Macaca mulatta: one gene and its partners. The protein of the gene in region 1 purifies or fractionates together with the protein of each later gene. This does not show direct contact. Links are inferred from orthologs where the notes say so. Each region holds a gene or a part of one and is shown in the gene's direction. Other genes may lie near its edges.

Region 1 (7,473 bases):
AGTGGAGCAAAACATCGTATGGAATCCTGGCAGCTGTGGGTGATTCTCAGCGGATTTTCCACACCTGCTGGGGCACACGGCCTCTCCAAAGAGCTGCCGTTCCATGGGCTGACGTGTTTGTATCTGGAGCGCAGAGAGGGCTGTTGGGAACAAGAAGCTTGAAGTCCACCTTGAGGGTTCCAGGCTATGCAGAAAAAAGAACTTGGCCCACTGGAGGTCACCCTGAACCCTTCCCAGTCAGGGTGGAAGTTGTGGCCATAATAATAATAATAGTATGCCAGAGCCCATGCATACGAGTGAAGGCAGTCAGAAAGGACAGGTGCGGCCCCACATGGTGAATTGAAGGGAAAGAGCCTTCCCACACACCCCAGCCCTGGTGCAGCTGCAGGGGAGGCCAGCTGGGGACCTGAGCTTGGGATTGGAGTTGGAACTGAGGAAGACTTCTTCGCCATTGTAGAGAGAGTTGGGTCTCTGTGGATGCAGGACGCTGTGGCTCCTCCATGGTGCGTGAACCTCATTCCCTTTGCTGGCTTGGGCTGTTGATGGAATGAGCCTCATAAGATATTGTTCTTCTTTGAACCTCATCTTCCTTTGGGTGGGATGCCGAGAAAGATCTCTGTGACCAAACACACTGACTCCATCTGGTAGATCAGAACCCAAGGAAAGAGGTCGATTTCAAAACTAGTAAACTAGAGAGCACGGTGCCCCGTGAGGATGAGGGTTACAGGAATCTCTGGCTATGGAACGGGAGGGGAAGCCGTCTCCCTGGGATGGTGTGGGGATGGTCCCACCGTGGTCCCCGGCAAGTGTGTCATTTCCTCCCAAGAGTGAGACGCTGCCACCCAGCCCTGCAGAGCCCCTGACTCGCATCCTTCCCTTGGCAGATGAGAAGAACATCCTGCACATCATGGTGAAGGTGGTGAAGGGCCACCGCCCTGAGCTGCCGCCCGTGTGCAGAGCCCGGCCGCGCGCCTGCAGCCACCTGATACGCCTCATGCAGCGGTGCTGGCAGGGGGATCCGCGAGTTCGGCCCACCTTCCAAGGTGAGTTCCCCAGGGTCTCCCCAGCACGGTCTGTGGGTGTCACAGGAGATAGTGGTGACGGACAGGACAGGGTCAGGGACCAGGCCTGGGTGAGAAACGAGGCATGTAACAGGTGGGCCAAAATGAGCCCTGCACAGATAGGTTGGCCCCAGCACCTGCCTGTGGCCTCTGGTACTCAAGGCTCGGCCACAGCAGCTGGAACTGAGTCGCCTCCAACCATCCATCCCCTGCTCCCCGCCAGGGCTGGGCTTGCTGCCCAGAGGAGTCTGTATGGGAGTCTGAAGTTCAGGTGCAGCCATGCTCTTCCCGGGGACTCACCTGGCTGGTGGCTGGAGGTGTTGCCCTTGGGGAGTTGACTTCCTGGGACAGATGTGTCTCTGGCATAGGAAAGTGACCCTGATGAGATGGAAACTGCTGCATGTAAAGCTTACGGCAGGAAACGGGATGAATGGGGAGCTCCTCCGCCAGGTGCTGGCAGCTCTGCTCCCTGCAACTGGCAGGTGGGGCTTTCCCGGGGAAGGCTTCTGCTTTGAGTCTGGTGAGGCCTGCAAATGATTACCAACGGGGGGCCTGGGTTTGGCCAGCAAATCGCCCATGTAGGGCCCCTGGGCTTGCCTGGCGAGCTCAGCCTGGGCCGAGGCATGTGAGAAATCCCCCAGCTTGTGGAGGCCCCGCCCGTGTTTAAATGGAAGGCTTGTGTACGTAGAAGTTATCATCCGAGTGACATGTCCCCTTTCTTCCCCACAAGAAATTACTTCTGAAACCGAGGACCTGTGTGAAAAGCCTGATGATGAAGTGAAAGAAACCACTCACGACCTGGACGTGAAAAGCCCCCCAGAGCCCAGGAGCGAGGTAATGGGCCCTTCCCACAGGGGTCTTTTGTCTCCTCGGCTTCCAGGCAGGGTTTCCAAACCACTCCTCCTCTCTGCAGACTCCTCCGCGCCGGGACCACTCTCCCTCTCTTCTGAGCCCATCCCGCACCCAACTCCGTTAGAAGTGTAGGTCCCACGGGGGCTCAGGTCCACCTGCCCGATTGCATCCCCGCCCCACCTCCTGTCTGTGATTCTGCATGAGTAATGTAAGGGCTTCCCTGACACTAAATAGCCACTCATTGGATGTGCGTGGAACCACGGGGATCAGAAGGCCCAGCCCCAGACGGGGAGGGAGAGCTGGTGTCTGGGTGTTTTTGCACCTCTGGTTCGGGGATCCAGTCCCTTTATAGCTGCTCATAAATGGTCTGTACTCTGATGAGTGCCACCTAGGTGATTTCAGATGTGATAAGAAGTTCCAAGTGCCAGGGCTGGCTAAATACCCTTTCAGGTGATGAGACTGGAGCAGACCTGTGAGGCAGAGCTAAGTGAGCTTTATAACGTGTTATCTGGTGTTGGGCAATTGATCCCAGCCTGTCGGTGTGAGCTCAGGAGAGCCGGAAACATGTATGGCGTGCCCACTGTCTCAACATAAAGTGCATGCGTGCCAGTGAGTCTGGGAGCAAAGGTGCCTGGGGGTTGCTGGTGAAGAGGCAGACCTGGGCCCTGATAAGGGAAAGAAGGCAACCAACATGTGGGGGTGGCTTGGTGCACCCAGCAAGAGTGCGGGACATTGAGCCGTCCCACAGAGGGTGGGGATTTGGGGCAAATAGGTGTGCCTAAGGGAAGAAATGTGAAATCCTGTCAGATTCCACTTACCCACCAGAAACCTGCTGCCCCTGCAGTCCGTGAAGCGAGACCCTTTAAAAGGTGTCATTGGTGTGCGTCGGACTGGATTATCCCTCATCCTTGTAGCCGGGCCCTTCCCCCTTCCCTTGTCCCCACACAGCCCCCAGGCCAGCCCCACGTGGTTCCGCGGGGAGGTCGCAGTTGTAGCCACCTGTGGGGGTCCTGCCCAGTTCTTGTCTGTCCTCTTGTTTCCTGCCAATGCTGGCCTGTGCTGGGCAGCTGTGTCCTGCCACGCATGCTTCACCACACTCTGCAGCTTGACATTACCTGCCTTTTGTCTGGGTGACGCTGTGCGCGGTGCTACTGAGCAGATGGCATCCAGAGCTGCATGAGGCTGGATTTTGCACTTTTATGAAGTCGATCTTTCCTTAAAATGTTTCTGGGCTGGGTGGAGCCAGCGCAAGTCTTTGTAGCTCCAAGTCTTTGAGCTCCCTGGCGCTGTGCGGCTGCGTCGTCTGAGCTCCACCTGTGCGGCTGTGGAGTCCGAGCTCCCTGGTGCTGTGCGGACCGACGTGGTGTCTGAGCACCCGGGTGCTGTGCAGACTCGGCGTCTGAGCTCCCTAATGCTGTGCGGAGGCGGGGTCTGAGCTGGGGGACCAATAGGTTATCTGTGTTGCTTCCAGGTTCCGTCCTTTCTTCCCCCACCTCCCTCCCATGGCCCACCTTGCTCTTCCGTGTTTGTGTCATGGGCGGGCCATGCGGGGTATGGCAGGGTCTTCACCCACCCCTTCTTCTGCATCTTCGCAGGTGGTGCCTGTGTCTGCCAGGCTCAAGCGGGCCTCCGCCCCCACCTTCGATAACGACTACAGCCTCTCCGAGCTGCTCTCACAGCTGGACTCTGGAGTTTCCCAGGCTGTCGAGGGCCCGGAGGAGCTCAGCCGCAGCTCCTCTGAGTCCAAGCTGCCATCGTCCGGCAGTGGGAAGAGGCTCTCGGGGGTGTCCTCGGTGGACTCCGCCTTCTCTTCCAGAGGATCACTGTCGCTGTCCTTTGAGAGGGAGCCTTCGACCAGCGGTAAGTGGGGACGCCTCTTTGTGTCCCGGGAGATGCTGGGCTCGGCGGGAAAGTTGACTGGACTCAGTGAGCAGCTAAACGGAATCAAGGGGAAGTTTCTCGACCCAACAATAATTCTTCTTTGTGTTCTCTCTGTCTGAAGTAATTAATTTTGGGTGTTGGGCATTTGGCTCCATCCTGTGTCGCTTAGCATACGTGGGGAACAGGCCACATCACCAGTCCATGCAACAGTCTTGCCTGTGCCAGTGCCATGGGTAGAGGCTGACCTCTGGTCTACAGATTGGAAACCCCATCCAGTGCGGTGAGACCGGCGAGGAGCTGAGCCCCACTCCCTGGCGGGCCTCCTGTCTCCAGGATGGCAGTCCCACACCCTCTGCTCAGATCCTGCTGGGTACACACCCATGCCTTCGCATATGTGGGCTCCCCATTCACGGTAGTCCAGGCCTTGTAATGTGTTGGTTATCCTTGGAGGTTTTAACACCAGGCCACCTTTGCAAATCTCCTGTTAGGGAGGAGCACTTCTCACTTAGCGAATCTTATCTTTTTATGTTAATTTTGATGGCTTTTGTTTTTGGAAGGTGCTTTTTTTCCTATCCCTGCCCCAGGGTGCTGGGCCTAGTGGTCATTCTGGCTTCCTCTTTGCCAGCTGCAGTGGTAAGATGTGGTCCTGCCCTATTCCTGAAGGGGCTGCAGCTCTGATGGAAAATACAGGGATTTACACTCAGGGCTACAGCCACGGGGGCTGAGGGCCAAGGCTGTGATCTTGGGGGGAAGGATGTACCAATCCATCCTGGCTTTTCCTGGTGGATTGGTACATCCTCTTGGAGGCAAAGACTTTTCCTGGATCTTACAGACCTCCTGGGATTTTTAGATTAGAATACTGGGGGCAAAAGAGGGTGTCTTGGGTTAAGGAAATGCTACATAGACACAGTGGGGAAGACCTGGTGTGACGGCAGATAAGCAGTAGGTGATGGGGTTGAGGAAGAGAGTCAGGGCCAAGTCTAAGACTGGGCAGAAAGAAATACTACCATCTCCCATGGAGAAGTACGTTCTAGAAAATTCTCTTTGGGTCTAATACTCTGAAATGGCATATCGTCTTCATGCTCGAGAGAGGATTATTTTACTGGCTCTACTCGGAATACCAGTGTTCAAACACCAAGCCCGACTGGGAGGGTTCCGTTTTCTTAACACCTTAACACCGCCACCTTCCAAGTCCCCATGTGTTTCACATGAGGGTGGAGGAGAGTCTTATTTCAGGGACTCAGAATTCCAGGCACTACAGTAGGATTTTTGTGGTAAATGCAACTTTTCATCTTGAGTGCTGGACTAACGTCTTCCTGAAACAAGAGGCTCGGTCCCTTCAGGATTATCATAGCAAACTTCCCTCTTGACCTCCCCAGGTCAGGAGGTGCCACTTCGAGGTGGGGCAGGAGCTGCAGCAGCCCCTTCCAGCTCTGGGCACCAGCTCTGCAGGCTGCTAGGCCTGGGGTGTCCGTGGATGGCAAGTGCCAAGGCTTCCAGGCGAAGGGGTCTCCGGCCTGGTCTTTTAGTCTGTGCCCTTTTTCCTTCTTTCTTTAATGAAGGAATGTTTGCAGTCACTGCCATCTCTAGGCACCAAGGGGGTTCAGCACCCCGCAGGACAGCGAGAGTGGGTTTTATTCTGCAGACCAACTAACGAGCACCTGAAAGACATTCGCCGGCCTGCCCCGGGGCTCCCACTAGGACTGACCTTAATCAGGAGGCACAGATAATGCTCAAACATGGTCAGGTGTCCAGTGAACAGCCTGGAGGCCTTGGCACTCCTCCACCTGAGCGCCACAGCCAGGCTCCCAGAGACGCTGCGTCCCTGGATGTGCAGCCGCGCTCTGACGCTTGCCTCTCCTCTCCCTGCAGATCTGGGCACCACAGACGTCCAGAAGAAGAAGCTCATGGATGCCATCGTGTCTGGGGACACCAGCAAGCTGATGAAGATCCTGCAGCCACAGGACGTGGACCTGGCGCTGGACGGTGGCGCCAGCCTGCTGCACCTGGCGGTGGAGGCCGGGCAAGAGGAGTGTGTCAAGTGGCTGCTGCTCAACAATGCCAACCCCAACCTGACTAACCGGAGGGGCTCCACCCCGCTGCACATGGCCGTGGAGAGGAAGGTGCGGGGCGTCGTGGAGCTCCTGCTGGCACGGAAGATCAGTGTCAACGCCAAGGATGAGGACCAGTGGACGGCCCTCCACTTTGCAGCCCAGAACGGGGACGAGTCTAGCACGCGGCTGCTGCTGGAGAAGAATGCCTCGGTCAACGAGGTGGACTTTGAGGGCCGGACGCCCATGCACGTGGCCTGCCAGCATGGCCAGGAGAATATCGTGCGCATCCTGCTGCGCCGAGGCGTGGACGTGAGCCTGCAGGGCAAGGATGCCTGGCTGCCGCTGCACTATGCCGCCTGGCAGGGCCACCTCCCCATCGTCAAGCTGCTGGCCAAGCAGCCGGGGGTGAGTGTGAACGCCCAGACACTGGATGGGAGGACGCCCCTGCACCTGGCTGCACAGCGCGGGCACTACCGCGTGGCCCGCATCCTCATCGACCTGTGCTCCGACGTCAATGTCTGCAGCCTGCTGGCACAGACACCCCTGCACGTGGCCGCAGAGACGGGGCACACGAGCACTGCCAGGCTGCTTCTGCATCGGGGCGCCGGCAAGGAGGCCGTGACCTCCGACGGCTACACTGCTCTGCACCTGGCTGCCCGCAACGGACACCTGGCCACTGTCAAGCTGCTCATCGAGGAGAAGGCCGATGTGCTGGCCCGGGGACCCCTGAACCAGACGGCGCTGCACCTGGCCGCTGCCCACGGGCACTCGGAGGTGGTGGAGGAGTTGGTCAGCACCGACGTCATTGACCTGTTTGATGAGCAGGGGCTCAGCGCATTGCACCTGGCCGCCCAGGGCCGGCATGCGCAGACAGTGGAGACTCTGCTCAGGCATGGGGCCCACATCAACCTGCAGAGCCTCAAGTTCCAGGGCGGCCATGGCCCCACCGCCACCCTCCTGCAGCGAAGCAAGACCTAACTGGCTGCCTGTGGAGACCAGGGGTCCATGTGGGGCTCTTGGTCCTGTCCTGTCTTCCTCATGGGGATGGAACGATCCTGCGTGGGGCCCTGTTGTGGCTTGCCTAAACATTGACCAAGCGGAGGTGACATGGTGCCATCGGGAGGTGGCTGCTGCTGACCGGAGTGTCCCCTCCAGGCGAAGCTGGCTTAGGTGCATGTGCCCGCTCCATCACCGATCTAGGCACCTGCTGTCTGAAAGGACCGTGGGTCAGAGTCATTTCGTTGTGCTCCTAATGGGCTGCTGAGGCTGGTCTCTCAGTGATGAAGCCCCAGGCGAGGAAGCATCCACTCTCTCCTGAGGCGAGCCATCTTGGGCCGCTGGAGCTCACCAGTCTTGAGGGAAGAGGTGCAGGAGAAACTGTGTTTTTTATCTTCATACACAGCAGTGGGCAGAGAGGCCTGTCTTAAAGTTTCCATGGAATTGTTTTATAAAATATCTTAAGAGATGAATGCCTTATCAGCTGCTGCTTGAAACCTGTTAAAAATGTTCATAACATTGGATAGTCTAGTCTGTAAATGATGACTAAGTAGTGGGGTTGGCTTTGAAAACAAGTTTTATGCAACAAGGAGTAAATGGTAGCAGCCAGCATTGCGGGACGTGTGTGT
Region 2 (7,473 bases), on another chromosome or scaffold:
AAGATTTGCTAAGGGCAGCTGTAATAAAATGATCTTTGGATGTATCATAGGAATTACTGGTAGAGAGGCTAAGAAAAAGTTATGATAGAATTAATTTGCTCACTTTATTTTGTACATGCTAACTAGCTATGATTTTTTTTTCTGCAAATACGGTAGAAAATCAGTCATAATAGGAAAAAAGATCTCTAACTCCAGAATGGAGTTATATGCAGAGAAAAAGATTTGGTGTAGTCAATGGGTTTATATTTCCGCCAGAACACTGCGTGTACCTAATCAGTCTCCCACTCTGACCTTGTACATCAATTCCAGTATTCAGCATATAGTATCAAGGAAGGGGTATCCACAGGCCTCATCAAGAGAGAGCTGCTGGTCCACCAGTTCTAACCTCAGTGGTCCTCATGGACTCCACTGTGCTAGAATTACCTTGGGCGGAAGCTTTACCCGATGGCTGTATGTGATATCTCCCTTCCCACCTTGTCTCATCTGTGCTTTTTCTCCTTTACTGCCTACAATCCCTGTCTCCCCAGAAAAGTCTTTCCTACACCATTTGTCTACATGGTTTTTATCAACTCAGACATCAAGAGAATGCCTAAGAACTAAATAGAATTGACGTTTCTTGTTTGTTGATTTTATTTAAATAGTAATACAGACACATGATTAAAAACAGTTTCAAATCATATAAAAGGAAATAGAATAAAAAGTAAGGCTTCCTCCTAGGTTAGTGCTTGGAAACACACAGATGGTATAAATGTATACATATAGCTTTATATGTGTGGTGTGTACTGGAAGTGAGATAGAAATAAAGAGTTCCAAGATAGTGAAAAATTATATCTGTATGGAACAGATATAAAAAACTTACAGATAGTGTGAATCATGTGTGGGAAATTGTTTCACAGAGGTCTGTTTTTCATTCAAGGCTCTGGGATATTGAATGTGGTGCCTGTTTAAGAGTCCTAGAGGGACATGAAGAATTGGTCCGATGCATCCGGTTTGATAACAAGAGGATTGTCAGTGGGGCCTATGATGGGTATGTCTTTCAGATTTTCAGATGTACTGCTATAACTATATCAACAAGAAAAAGAAATGTTGTATATTAAGCAACTCTGTATGTACCAGGTCCTATGGTAGGTTTCTGTGTAGTGGTGGATGGCAGGTATTATTATACCAGTTGTTTAGGTGAGGACACTCAGGCCCAGAAAGAACTAAATCTTGCCCCAAATGACAGAGGCAGAGTCACTGTGGTTCCTAAACTTATGCTTTGAGTCATTGTTGTAAACTCCAGCAATAGCTGAGGTTGTGAGTGTACTCACTTCTTTGCTTTACCCCTAAATTAAGCCAGGCGCTCTCTCTCTGTCTCTCTGTCTCTGTGTGTGTGTATGTGTGTTCTTTTTCTCTCTGTGTGTGTGTATGTGTGTTCTTTTTCTCTCTGTGTGTGTGTGTATGTGTGTTCTTTTTCTCTCTGTGTGTGTGTATGTGTGTTCTTTTTCTCTCTGTGTGTGTGTATGTGTGTTCTTTTTCTCTCTGTGTGTGTGTGTATGTGTGTTCTTTTTCTCTCTGTGTGTGTGTATGTGTGTTCTTTTTCTCTCTGTGTGTGTGTATGTGTGTTCTTTTTCTCTCTGTGTGTGTGTATGTGTGTTCTTTTTCTCTGTGTGTGTGTGTGTTCATGTGTTCAATAATAAGTTTCTTCTTTTCCCCTTTTGGTAAATTGAACAAACCCTCTTTAAAACACCTCACTATATTTTAAATGGGCAAATGGCAACTGTAAATCTTTCCAGATGACCTTATATATACTTCCCAAATGGGTTGGTTGGTCTGTCTGTACTCCTATTACTAACTTCCAGCATTTGCTTAATTTGGAGAAAGGTATCCTTGGAATTTCACACAGAGCCCTAGCTTCTGTCAGCAGCACCTCCTCAGCCCTAGAGAGTCCCCTGATGAATGAACTTGGTGACACAGGTTATCAGGTCCGGAACTGAATTTAGATAACCTGAAGTTGTTTTCTTATCTCCCTTAAAATAATATTTCTTTAAAATTTCAGCAATTCTGAGAATGTGTTGGTTCTTAATTTTTCTGAAGTCAAGTGTAATTGGTTCAGATGATTTGTAAAAACATAAGCATGTTCCCCATTAGCTTTTATAAATAGGCAGTTCAGATGCACTACTTTTTGTCAAGGAAATGTTTGACAGCATATAAATTGTTCATTTTTCCACTAATCACATCTCATTTCCCTTTCTAGGAAAATTAAAGTTTGGGACTTGCAAGCTGCTCTTGACCCTCGAGCCCCAGCGAGCACATTGTGTTTGCGCACATTGGTGGTACGTGACCTCTTAAGACAGGAATTGGTTCCCTGTGCTGGAGGATGACCATTTGCAGATAGCCCTGTCTAGGTGTATCACAGGAGCGCTTGTGTATCTCACAAGATGCCTTCAGAGAATTTCACTGTTCATTTTGTTTAGCCAAAATCAGAGAATATTTGATGCTTACATTACTGTGAGCACTTTTCTAAGGGGAGACATAATGCAACTTCAGATATGAAGGCAGGCATCCTGATTTGTAGGTGGACTGGTTTCCTCATAGGGCAAGCAATATTTCCTTCTTGCAGGTTTGAAGATTTCTTAATATGGCTACTTGTGGTTATGTTATGTTTTAATAACAGCACATTTTTATACTATATATAAATTTTTATGCTATATGTAAGTACTGTTGTATTTTTGAAGAGAGAGTCATTTGGGAATATCGGTAGATTTAAAAAAATTTTTAGTAGCTTTATCTTTTATTTCTATTTCTTCACTTCTTGCATTTAGTAGAAGATGCAGAACTCTCTTTCTTCTTGATTTTAATGGGAACCCTTATAATGTTTCACCATGAATTTTGATGCTGGCAGCAGTTTGAGGTAGATCCTGGTCATGTTAAACAAACTGTCCTTCTGATTCTAGGTTTTTCCAGTGGATTTTTAGAGTGCATCAAGAATGGGTATTATGTATTGTTGTTTACTTTTCTAAGGCCCTTTGTGAGATGATCTTTGAAATATTGGTAGAGTCTAAGATACAGAGTTGAATGAAAGAAAAGGCCTAGCAGGGGGTGCCGGGCGCAGTGACTCATGCCTGTAATCCCAGCACTTTGGGAGGCCGAGGCGGGTGGATCTCAAGGTCAGGAGATCAAGACCATCCTGGCTAACACAGTGAAACCCCATCTCTACTAGAAATACAAAAAATTAGCCAGGTGTGGTGGCGGGCGCCTGTAGTCCCAACTACTCGGGAGGCCAAGGCAGGAGAATGACGTGAACCCCGGAGGCGGAGCTTGCAGTGAGCGGAGATCACGCCACTGCACTCCAGCCTGGGTGACTGAGCGAGACTCTGACTCAAAAAAAACAAAAAAGGCCTAGCAGGAAAAGAAAGAAAAGCATTTGTTCTTGGGATGAAGGACACAGTTCAGTGAGCTCTGTACAGTCGTGTAAGAAGTCTGTTTAAGTGGCTTCATTTTCATCTGCCAAATTTCTCATTGTGAGATATCAGGGACTGTAAAGATGTCATTTTATTCATGAAGTTTTTAATATTTCATAGGAACATTCTGGACGTGTGTTTCGGCTACAGTTTGATGAGTTTCAGATCATCAGCAGCTCCCATGATGACACTATTTTGATTTGGGATTTCTTAAATGTGCCTCCCAGTGCCCAGAATGAGACCCGTTCTCCCTCCAGAACATACACTTACATCTCTAGATAACAGTCTGCACTTTCACCCGTTTCAGGTGAGTACTGTCCCTTCCCCTTCCAATTTTGCTGATTGAATTCACCTTCCCTTTGGGGGAATTTTGTGATTTGGGTTCCTTGGTGATGGGAACTAAGGTCTCTTAGATGTGTCAGCTTTTGCAGAGTTCAAGTATCAGGCTAGATCTCTATAGTCACATCCATACAAGGTTTCAGTTGGAATCCTGCCTATTGTGTGGGTTTTCATTATTGGCAGATGATAAACATGGTTCCTGTTTTTAAAAACTGTGTTCCTAAATGATTTTTAAGGTCATAATCAATTTAACACCAGTAAAATCCCTTGAATTTTATTTTGGGGTACAAGAAACTTCTTTTTCTCTTTCTTTCCTGTCCTTCAGTTCTTTTATTAAAAAAAAAAAATCATCATCTGACAAAACATTCAAAATCCGCCTCTTCCCCACTACCACAATCCACCCACTACCGTCATTCCCTCAAGGGTGGATCAGAGAAGAGCATCTGTTGAGAGACCCCTAAAACCTATTCTGCTTCCACGAAACACAGCAGATATGCTGAGAAGCAGAGTCCTTCACTCTGGCTACAGGAACATTGAAAGTCATTGTAACCATTGATGACAGAATGCTTTGATTATTACTAAGAGTGTTCAATCTGGAAGATGAGAAGTCTTACTTGGCTGTGTCCTAGGAACTGATGACTTAGGAACAGTATTGACAACTCTGTGTGTTCTGCTGAGGGCCAGTGAATTCTACACACATTAAACTTTGTAGATTGAATAAATGTTTACACATAATCATACTACTATGGATATATGTCTATAAAGACTGTTGTGATTTTAATGAAATTTGTGTTTATTTAAAATCATTACTTAATTCTTAGTGGCTTTTTATCATTACATATTTTCCTGTTCATTGAATTTCAAAAGTATAAGGAAGTCCATGTGCAGAATTAGGAATTTTTTTTGATGGAGAGATTGAGAACTCTTGGTACTATTCACTAAGTTACCATCTTTTCAGATACTCTTTCATCAGGATTCCAAGATCCAATAAATAGAACTCCACCAGGAAGTTGGTCTTACCTAGAGGTCAAGAAACTATATATATAGCCAGGGACCAAAATCGACTCACTACCTGTTTTTTGTTTGTTTTGTTTTGTTTTGTTTTTAATTAGTCTCTGCTTATCCTTTTTTTTTTTTCCTGTCTCCACAGGCTAAGAATAGTTTTTACATTTTTAAATGCTTAAAAAAATTAAAAGAAGAATATTTTTTTCATGACATGCAATAATTAGATGAAATTTAAATTCCATTGTTTATAAATAAAGATTTTTGATACACAGCCATGCTCATTCCTTTATGTGTTGTCTGTGGCTGTTTTTGTGCTTCAGTGGCAGAGCTTAGTAGTTGCAACAGAGACCTTATGGCCTACAACGTCTGAAATATTTACCATATGGCCCTTTCAGAAAAAGGACCTTTTTTTTTTTTTTTTTTTTTTGCTGACTTCTGGTCTTGCCCTGCTCCATCTATTAGCAGTAAACCAAGGGTCTACATCAGGAATGGCAAATAATTTGTGTTTTCTTCATGCCCACTGAGTTTGGTCAGTAGTGGCTGGTGGGAGTGTTGCCTTTGGAAGGATTCTGGGACCCCATGAACCCCAAAGGACTGGTTGTGGTTGGTTATGTCTGCCTTGCAGGAGTGACCTGTAAGCCACTTACCTATTTGCTGTTACGGGTCTCGGGTGTGTTCAGACTGTTCCTGATCATAATCTTCTGCCCTGCTGCTTTCTTTCTGGATAGATTCTTCATAAGTCAGTTGAAAAATCCACATGGCAGAATTATTATAATTATTGAATGGAGCCTTAAAATAGGAATTCCAGAGGAAGGAGGCAAGGATCTCTTGAGTGATTGCTCCTCCCCCCGACCTCCCCTCCCAATAAGCCTAAGAAAATGTAGGGAAGGAGGAATGGACCCAAGTAAAAACGGCTTAAGGAGGCATATGGCAAAATTCAAGACATCCGTATCACGGTTTTCTTTTTCTGGTGTATTACAGTAGATGAACTGACAACATCTATATGTTACCTGCAAGTGCCCTGAGCAAGATTCCTTTGGTTGAGAGATGAAGCAGTGATCACCAATGCTGTTTCTTACTGGCTGTGGTAGAAAGGAAACTTGTGTTACTTCCTCCAGGCCCTCCTCCTACCCACCTTTTATGGAAACCTCAGAATAGCTGCCTAGTTGTGATCAATTATAAGTCAATGGAAAAATCTTATCTGCTTAAGCTGGTGGTTCCCTGTATCCCAGCACAAGCAGTGAGACCCCAAATGTGCTTGTCTCTCCAATTTTATTACTTTTAACAACCTTGGCAGTCAACTTTATAGATTTTACTGCTCTTTTCTAAATTCTTTTTTTTTTTTTCCTTTTGAGACAATGTCTTGCTCTGTCACCCAGGCTGGAGTGCAATGGTGCAATTTTGGCTCACTGCAACCTCTGCCTCCCAGGCTCAGGTGATCCTCTTGCTTCAGCCTTGTGAGTAGCTGGGGCTACAGGCATGTGTCATCACACTCAGCTAATTTTTTTATTTTTATTGGAGACGAGGTTTCACCATGTTGGCCAGGCTGGTCTCGAACTCCTCGCCTCAAGTGATCTGCCTGCCTCGAACTCCTGAAATGCTGGGAATACAGGAGTGAGCCACCGCGCCCAGCCCCAAATTCTTTTCATTTATTATAACATGAAAAAAATTATAACCATGTGTTATGTGTAATAAGAAACACTACCCTAATGGTGATTTAACCTTGCAGTAAAATATTCACCCGTAAAATATCAGGTGAGAGTCTCTCCATGTCAGCAAATGCAGTAATAGATTTATTTACAGAGTCATTGTTAAAAAAGTAACATGTAAGAGCTGTATGTTGTATTATATATTCAGTAGCTCAAAATTTATTTTTTTTTCTTATTACAAGACAATATAAGATCATTATTAGGAAATTTGAAAAAGTAGATACGCCAAAAGAAGAAAGTAAACTCCTGCTCATGGTTTACCACTAACTCCTTTTTATAGATCCTTTCAGGCTTTTTAAAGTGATGCTTGATAACTAACTGGACATTTTTAAACATGTTTTTCTTCTTTATTGTGAAATGCTTGTGTTAGTAATGTCAGTATTTGTCCAAATTATTCCAATTGCCAAATTATATTAGATTGTTTGGATATGCTCTCTCGTTACATATTTATCCTCCCCAACCCCCAGTTTTTAGTGATTATAAAAACAATGCTATGATTATTCTTTTAACCTAATCTTTGTCCAACCCTTTGTCAGCTTTGGATGGGATTCTGGAAATGTGTGGAGAGTCTGGGTTAAAAGGTATCATGTTTGAAGACTTTTTTTTTTTTAAATTATACTTTAAGTTCTAGGGTACATGTGCATATGTAGGTCATTTTGCTTTCCAAAAGATTCAGTCAGTTTATGCTCCCCTCAGCAGCATTTGAGAGTGCTCACTTCTGGTCCCAGGGCATTAATGTTTTTGAAATAATTCAGGTTCCCTTAAATATCCTTAATGGGAAAAAAGTAGCAAATGAAATTGAATCTTGAATTCATTGAGAAGACTTAAGATTCTTGATCTTTATGAAAATTGACAACCTTTTGGGAAAATCACCTTTTAAAAAAAGCATTCAAGCTTTAAAAAGTCTCTCTCACCTTTTTTTTTCCCCCACCTAAGGTGACTTTAGACTTTCTAGGCCAGTGGTTTAGTGCATCATT
Region 3 (8,076 bases), on another chromosome or scaffold:
GCTTTCCTTAGACTCCCAGCTTCTACATCTAACCCCTGTGCTAGCTTTTCTCTCCTTCCCTTGACAGCCACGTTTTGCAAAGAAGAGACTCAGCAGTCTTCATATCCTCACCTCCCTCTTCAATATGCTGCAGTATGGCACCTGCACCCACCCCCCGCCAACATGATCCTCACTCATCAGACTTTCCTGCTACCTCTCTGGTCACTTCTTGGGCTCCTTTGTAGCTTCGTAGGCTCCTCTTCCTGTGCTTGTCCTGTAAATCTTACGGTTCTTCAGAATGCTGTCCTAGGCCTGTTGCTCTTTCCACTGTTTATGCTTTCCCTGAGTGATCCCATCCCTTCCCTTCCCTTCCCTTCCCTTCCCTTCCCTTCCCTTCCCTTCCCTTCCCTTCCCTTCCCTTCCCTTCCCTTCCCTTCCCTTCCCTTCCCTCCCCTCCCCTCCCCTCCCCTTCCCTTCTTTCTCTCTCTTTCTCTCTTTCTTTCTTTCTTTCTTTCTTTCTTTCTTTCTTTCTTTCTTTCTTTCTTTCTTTCTTTCTTTCTTTCTTTCTTCCTTCCTTCCTTCCTTCCTTCCTTCCTTCCTTCCTTCCTTCAGACAGAGTCTTGCTCTGTGGCCCAGGCTAGAGTGTAGTGGTGTGATCTCGGCTCAATGCAACCTCCACCTCCCAGGTTCAAGCGATTCTCCTGCATCAGCCTCCTGAATAAGCACCATTGCGCCCGGCTAATTTTTGTGTTTTTCGTAGAGATGGGGTTTCACCATGTTGGCTAGGCTGGTCTCGAACTCCTGACCTCAGGTGATCCACCCACCTTGGCCTCCCAAAGTGCTGGGATTACCAGCGTGAGTCACCACACCCGGCTCCCTACGTGATTTCATTCTTTTCAGGGGAAGAAGCGGGAGTGGGGTTTCATTTACCACCCATATGCTGGAATCCCTATTTGTAGCCCAGGTCTTTCTCTCCAACTTCAGTTTCGAATATTCAATGGCCTCCCCAACATCTGAATCCACTTAGAAATCTCACAGGCACCTTGAAGCAATAAGTCCAAAAAGAGAACTGATTATCCTCCTACCACTTGCTCCTTCTACTCTGCTTTCTGTCTTAAAAAAAAAAAAAAGGAATCCTTCATTCATTACCTGAGCCAGATACATAGAAGTCATCTTGGACACATCCTTTTGACATCATCCATGACACATCTAATCACTATACTCAACTGATTCTATCTCCTTAGTATCTCTGGAATCCATCTACTTCTTTCTGTTCTCACCACCACATTCAAGCTGCCATCATCTCTCCCAGGAAGATTTCAGCAACGCCATAATCCTTTCCCCAAGCTTCCAGCTGTGCTCCATTTTAATCTCTCCTCCACCCTGGACTCTGATTTTCTGAAAACGCAAATCTGACCATGTTTAAAATTGTTCAGTTAGTTTCTCACAGCTCTCAGGATACAGTCCAAATGCCTTAACTTGGCCTATAAGCTGGAGTGAAAGTCAAGGTATTTTATAGCTGGTAAGATACAGGCCTTGATGCCAGTTAGAAAGCATGTCAGCTGATTCATCTGACCAGTTTATGCCACCTAAATAATGGCTTACCTATAGAGCCCCATACTGCAGTCTCATCTAGGGTCACTCTTCCTCTAAAGTCCCACTGACCTTGTTTTGGTTCTCAGAATCAATCACCAAAATGCAGTTACCTTTGCCTGGAATACTCTTTTCCTGTGGCTGCACCATCATCCCACCTCATCTTTTAGTTTGTTTATTTATTTATGTATTTATTTATTTATTTTTTGTAACTCCATCATGTTACTGCCTTAGTCCTCTGAAAACTTCCAGCTATTTTTCTTTCTTTTTTTTTTTTTTGAGACAGAGTCTCGCTCTGTTGCCCAGGCTGGAGTGCAGTGGCGCAGTCTCGGCTCACTGCAAGCTCCGCCTCCCGGGTTCACGCCATTCTCCTGCCTCAGCCTCCTGAGTAGCTGGGACTACAGGCGCCCGCCACCGCGCCCGGCTAATTTTTTGTATTTTTAGTAGAAACGGGGTTTCACCGTGGTCTCGATCTCCTGACCTTGTGATCCGCCCGCCTCGGCCTCCCAAAGTGCTGGGATTACAGGCGTGAGCCACCGCGCCCGGCAGCTAGTTTTCATACGAATGCGTTTGAAGTCTTCTCCATTTTGTACTTGTGTAGAATTTTTTTTTTAATTCAAGAGCAAAACTTTTTATTAACTGAAAGCCTATTATGTATTAAGTATCATGCTGAGTTTTGTGGACATAGGGGCTAGGACAAAGTATCAACAGAGTGGAAGAGTAAGCTCCACGAAGAAATAACTGGGTCTGTCTTGTTCATCAATGAATCCCCTTTTCTTTTTCTTTTTGTCTAATTAATTTTATTTTTATTTCAATAGTTTTTGGGGTACAAGTGGTTTTGGGTTACACAGATTAATTGTATAGGGGTGAAGTCTGAGATTTTGGCCACCCAAGTAGTGATGAATCCCTACTTCTTGAGATGATGTCTGCACACGGTTATATGCTTACTATTTGTTGGATGACTGAATGAATAAGATGGTTTAAAATGGAGATTTTTCCTATAAGTGAAAAAGTATTTTCCTAGTTCAATTATTTTATAAATTCAGATATTTTGTACAAGGCTGTCACAATCTAACGCACTTTTTTTTTTTTTTTTAGACAGAGTCTGGCTCTGTTGCCCAGGCTGGAGTGCAGTAGCGTGATCTCGGCTCACTGCAACCTCCGCCTCCCGGGTTCAAGCAATTCTCATACCTCAGCCTGCCGAGTAGCTTGGATTACAGGCGTGTGCCACCAGGCCCGGCTAATTTTTGTAGTTTTAGTAGAGAAGGGGGTTTCTCCATGTTGGCCAGGCTCGTCTCGAATTCCTGACCTCAGGTGATCTACCCGCCTCGGCCTCCCAAAGTGCTGGGATTACAAGTATCAGTCACCCTGCCTGGCCCTAAGTCACTTTTAACCGAACCCTAGAGTTTTCTCCTCCTAAGGTAGACCCAATTTACAAAATAAACCCATATTGTACCTTTTCAGGCCAAAGAAAATATTTATATGCTTTATTTGCTGGAGGCCATTATATTCCACCATTGAAGGACTTTTGTAAGTACCTGTTTGACCCTTAGTGCAGGGCTTATATCCCACAGTTAGCAATAGCAAGCTATGCGCTTTTTGAGCTCTCAACACCAAGAATTTCTTGAGCCGGGTTCTATTCGGCCCTGACTTGCTGTAGGGGAGAAAAGATTCCTTGGGAGAAGTGTGGGTGGCGATAGCTTAGGAGGACCTTGAAATTCTGCATTGGTCTGTGAGCTGCTGCCTGGTGCCCATTGGCCCAGCTGCTCTGGGTAGCAAACCTGCAGACGCCAGATATATGAAATTTGGGGATGTTCAGCTCCCTAAAACCACAGTTAGGCAGGCCCTAGGACCCCTGATTCTTGCCATAGTTTTTCTTAGTATTTGGGCTACAGGTAAGGCATTGGTCGCCATCTTGATATCAAACGTCAGGCAAGCCGCTACTGGCGTCGCTCGGTAACCACGGAGACACCCGTGCCCCTCCCGTTTTTTAATCCTTAGAGGCTGTAAACTACAATTCCCATCAGCCAATTTCCTATGCTTAATGACAAGTTATCTAAATCTGGCTTGTGGGCAACCGCAACGCTGCCGCAGTGAACTGTGGGAGTTGCGGTTCACCGCGTAGCGTCAGTTTTTTTCTGCGGGAAGCTCCAGAACTACAAATCCCGTGAGCCAGTGGGCTTTCGCCTGCGTACTGAGAAAGCCGATTCTCCTTGGCCCCTAAGCCTGTGCCTGAGAGGTAAGAGAGGGCGGGGGGAAGGAAGAGGAGGCGGGATCCGGGCGCTGCGTTGGCTGCGGCCTGGCACCAAAGGGGCGGCCCCGGCGGAGAGCGGACCCAGTGGCCTTCGCGATTATGGACCCGGCCGAGGCGGTGCTGCAAGAGAAAGCACTCAAGTTTATGGTGAGGAGACGGTGGAGGCCGGGGAACGGCGGAGGCGCTGGCGTTGGCGGCGTCGTTGAGCTCGGGCCTGTGCCGCCCGCCCACTGCGGGACCAGGCAGCGGGACCCTGGGCCGAGGCTGGCGGCGGGGCAGCTGGAGGCATGGGATGGGAGCTCCAGAAAGGAGGCTAGGGGTTGCGGAGCGGACCCAGGGTGGGGGCAGCAGCTCCGCCATCTTGTGGATGAGAGGCCAAGTGACAGCGGGAGCTTAATCGAGGAGGGGGCTCCAAGCGGCGCGCGGGGCCCTGGAGGGAAAGGGGCGTGGGGACTGTTACTGAAGAGCGGAGGAAGCTCTGTGGAGAAACGCCGTGAGGCCGCTGGCGGGGCCTTCCCAGTGTCAGGGTTACCGGTAAGGCCCGGGAGAGGAGGTGCATTCAGGACTGGGGAAGGGGAGCGCGGGATAAAGTGAAGACAGATATGGTAGGTAGAGGGGAACGGGTAGGGCTGGATGCAGATGGATTTAAGGGTGGAGGAGGGAACACTAGGGCTGGTGAGAGGCTTATAGTTTTGTAGAATGAGGGAGGGAGGATAGCCTTTGCCTTGAGGGTGGAATCCCAGCTTGGCCAAACTACTGTTGACAAACTCTGGAAGGGAAGAGGCCTCAAGGAAGATAAAGACTGGGAATGAGTACCTAGGGCTATAATGACAGTCCCTGGGAGGGGGAAAGGGTGTTGACTGTAAACTAGAATTACAAATGTCAGGGAGAGAGGTACAGAACGCTACTTTGAAAGGAGAAGCTAAATACTATAGTAAGGACAAGGTGATGAAAAGTAAGAGGCAGATTGGTCAGGGAAACATGGGTACAGGAGATTGGGTCAAAATGAGTATCTAATAGGGTAAGCAAAACAAATTTTTTTTTTTTTTTTTTTTTTTTTTTTTGAGACGGAGTCTCGCTGTGTCTCCCAGGCTGGAGTGCAGTGGCGTGATCTCGGCTCACTGCAAGCTCCGCCTCCCGGGTTCACGCCATTCTCCCGCCTCAGCCTCCCAAGTAGCTGAGACTACAGGCGCCCGCCACCACGCCCGGCTAGTTTTTTGTATTTTTAGTAGAGACGGGGTTTCACCATGTTAGCCAGGATAGTCTCGATCTCCTGACCTCGTGATCCACCCGCCTCGGCCTCCCAAACTGCTGGGATTACAGGCTTGAGCCACCGCGCCCGGCCAGCAAAACAAAATTTAAAGGTAAATTGTGGGACCGTAAAATGTGGAGGCCAGGTACTTTGTATCATTTTCTGGGAAAGGAAAGGCCGCGGAGATGAGAGTTGCAAAGACCCGTAAGAAGTGATGAGATCAGTTGAGAAATTTAGGAGATAAAAAGGTTGGAGGTAGGTAGAGGGAAGTAAGTCAGGAATAAGTCAGTATTTGTGGTTACCTGTCACTTTTAGGTTGAAGCACAGTGTGAGCAAAGATTGGATTTTGTGGGTGTGTTTAAATCCCTTGGAACATATTTCTTTAACTTTGTATCACGCTTTTCTTTTTGCTATGCTTATCTTTGGCAAACTTGTCTAGTCTGATATTTGATGCTTTTAATCTGATGCTTTTTGTATTTCCTAGGTGTGAAACCAGACTTTGTGGTTACGACTAAAGAATGATGGAATGCATAGACTTTAAGCTTAACAGGTGGCCTTAGGGACATTGATATTATTTGCAGTCAAGTCTTGCCTTTTCAGAAGTTATTGTGACTTGTCACTCCAAATCTTACTCCTTTGCTTAAAAAAATAGTTATTTTGTATCTTTGCCTAAAATACCATAACAAATCCAGATAAACGTGGATACTAACGAAATTGAATTTTAGGCTTTAAACTGCCCCATTTATAAGAATAGTTTTTTGGAAACTAATCAAATTCACTAAAACTTTATTTTGCATTAGTGTTTTCAAAAACACCTAAAGTTCAAGGGTATCGTTAAAAAAATTTCACTGAGCCTGAAGAAGGTTCTTGGATTTCTGCCCAACATTAAAATTCTAAATATGAAGAAGAGACCTTGAAATTTTACTGGACTTTAGAAGTAAGTGAAAGTTATTAGACTTAAGTCAGAAAACTGTTACTGCTTATTTTTGTTTTCCTAGAGGGTTGAATCCTTTTTTTTTTTTTTTTCTTTTGAGACGGAGTCTCTTGCCCAGGCTGGAGTGCAGTGGTGCAGCCTCCGCCTCCTGGGTTCAAGCGAGTCTCCTGCCTCAGCCTCCCGAGTAGCTAGAACTACAGGTGCAGGCCACCACGCCCGTCTAATTTTTAGTAGAGATGGGGTTTCACCATGTTGGCCAGGATGGTCTCATTTCCTGACCTCGTGATCCACCCACCTTGGCCTCCCAAAGTGCTGGGATTTCAGATGTGAGCCGCAGCGCCCAGCAGAGGGTTGACTCAATGCTGATCCTGACGCTTGTGTCAGATTTATGGAATAATGTGATTTACAGATCATAAAGAGACATGAGGTCATCCTTTTTACTCTCGGTTAGACTTCAGCCTAGTAACATTTTCAGCTACTTAATCTGTGCTTTGTACCAGTGAGTTATGTTTTGATAATGGCCTCCTGGTTGAGTTAAAGTGGACTTGGAGATGACCATGTAGTAGTTGCAGCTTTTAGGGCACCACACATTACTAAATCTTGAATTAGTTTCCATAGGGAGGAGCCAGTTTTTTCTTTTAATTTTAGTTACTTTCATTATTGACCTTGCCTGCTGTTTTGGCTGCTGTTTGAGAAAAGGTCAACTAGAATAGGGTCACTAGAATGACACCTTAATAAAAGAAACAGAATGGAGAGTTTGAAATTGGGTATTCTCTTTCACTGCAGTAAGTCTTATGAATCTGAGTAAGTCACAACTTCCTTTTGATGCCATTTACCCTGCTATAACGTGTTGATGTATTCAGAGTCAATTTTAAGAAAGAAATATATTGGCGGGGCACGGTGGCTCATGCTTGTAATTCCTGCACTTTGGGAGGCTGAGGTGGGTGGAACACGAGGTCAGGAGATCGAGACCATCCTGGGCAAGATGGTGAAACCCCATCTCTACTAAAAATACAAAAATTAGGCGTGGTAGTGCGCACCTGTAGTCCCAGCTACTTGGGAGGCTGAGGCAGGAGAATCACTTGAACCCAGGAGGCAGAGGTTGCAGTGAGCTGAGATCGTGCCATTGCACTCCAGCTTGGGCAACAGAGTGAGACTCTGTCTCAAAAAAAAAAAAGAAGATATTTGAGCCAGCATCAAATAATTAGTGCACAGTACACGTGGAAGAACTATCCTTTTAATCAAACCGACATTTTTGTTACTATTTGGCTTTGTTCTGGTCTTAACCTTTCCCTCAATTATGAATCACTAATGACAACTTTTATACAGATACAGATGTCATGATTTAAACAAATGTAAAATTAGTTTAAAATGACAAAATGAAATGGATACTCTCACAGATTTGCTCATTGCTATACTAATGTGCCTTGATAAATAATTTTACAATAAAATCCGATTAATAAGACTGCTGATTCAGAGATGACCATAATTCACCCATGATCGAGACTTAAAGCTCATCTTAAATAGTTTAAGCAGAATGTTTAACTTTTAAAAACAAGTAAATGGTGTTGAAAGCAACCGTTTACATTAACTTATGTGCTAATGTCTCTCATTCAGCTTTAGCAGGTCCTCAAGGACCTTTCTTAATACTTTTTTGGTTAATAAAAGTATAAACGGAAACTTGAAGAGAACCTAAGAAGAGAAATGAAAATGATTAAGGGAATATAGGCCCCAAAACACACACACACCTGCACGCGCATTTAAGATAGGGGGTGAAAAGACATGCTGAGGAGGAATTTGAACTTTATTTTTGTTTTCACCTTTGAGACAGGGTTTTGCTATGTTGCCCAGCCTAGAGTGCAGTCACAGCTTGCTGCAGCCTCAAACTCCCAGGCTCACGTGATCCTCCTGCCTTCGCCTCTCAAGTGGCTACAGGCACACGCCACTTTACTGTTTTTTTTTTTTTTCTTTTTTCTTTTTGTAGAGAATGAGGGTTTCCCTTTGTTGACAGGGGTGGTTTTGAACTCCTGGGCTCAAGGGATCCTCCTGCCTTGGCCTCCCAGT

What was found.
Region 2: the proteins of RIPK4 (region 1) and FBXW11 purify together in Homo sapiens (affinity purification with mass spectrometry; 4 studies listed by BioGRID, with this or other methods). This does not show direct contact. The link is inferred for Macaca mulatta from reciprocal best matches to the Homo sapiens genes RIPK4 and FBXW11.
Region 3: the proteins of RIPK4 (region 1) and BTRC purify together in Homo sapiens (affinity purification with mass spectrometry; 4 studies listed by BioGRID, with this or other methods). This does not show direct contact. The link is inferred for Macaca mulatta from reciprocal best matches to the Homo sapiens genes RIPK4 and BTRC.

The regions. Positions count from the first base shown.
Region 1 is NC_133408.1:5,746,223-5,753,695, forward strand, and holds part of RIPK4 (receptor-interacting serine/threonine-protein kinase 4), read left to right. Parts: intron 1-884; coding exon 885-1,043; intron 1,044-1,791; coding exon 1,792-1,895; intron 1,896-3,508; coding exon 3,509-3,773; intron 3,774-5,666; coding exon 5,667-6,826; 3' UTR 6,827-7,473.
Region 2 is NC_133411.1:180,713,424-180,720,896, reverse strand, and holds part of FBXW11 (F-box/WD repeat-containing protein 11), read left to right. Parts: intron 1-916; coding exon 917-1,027; intron 1,028-2,236; coding exon 2,237-2,315; intron 2,316-3,563; coding exon 3,564-3,725; 3' UTR 3,726-3,750; intron 3,751-7,473.
Region 3 is NC_133414.1:113,423,485-113,431,560, forward strand, and holds the start of BTRC (F-box/WD repeat-containing protein 1A), read left to right. Parts: upstream 1-3,838; 5' UTR 3,839-3,925; coding exon 3,926-4,360; intron 4,361-8,076. UniProt on the Homo sapiens protein: Substrate recognition component of a SCF (SKP1-CUL1-F-box protein) E3 ubiquitin-protein ligase complex which mediates the ubiquitination and subsequent proteasomal degradation of target proteins. Recognizes and binds to phosphorylated target proteins.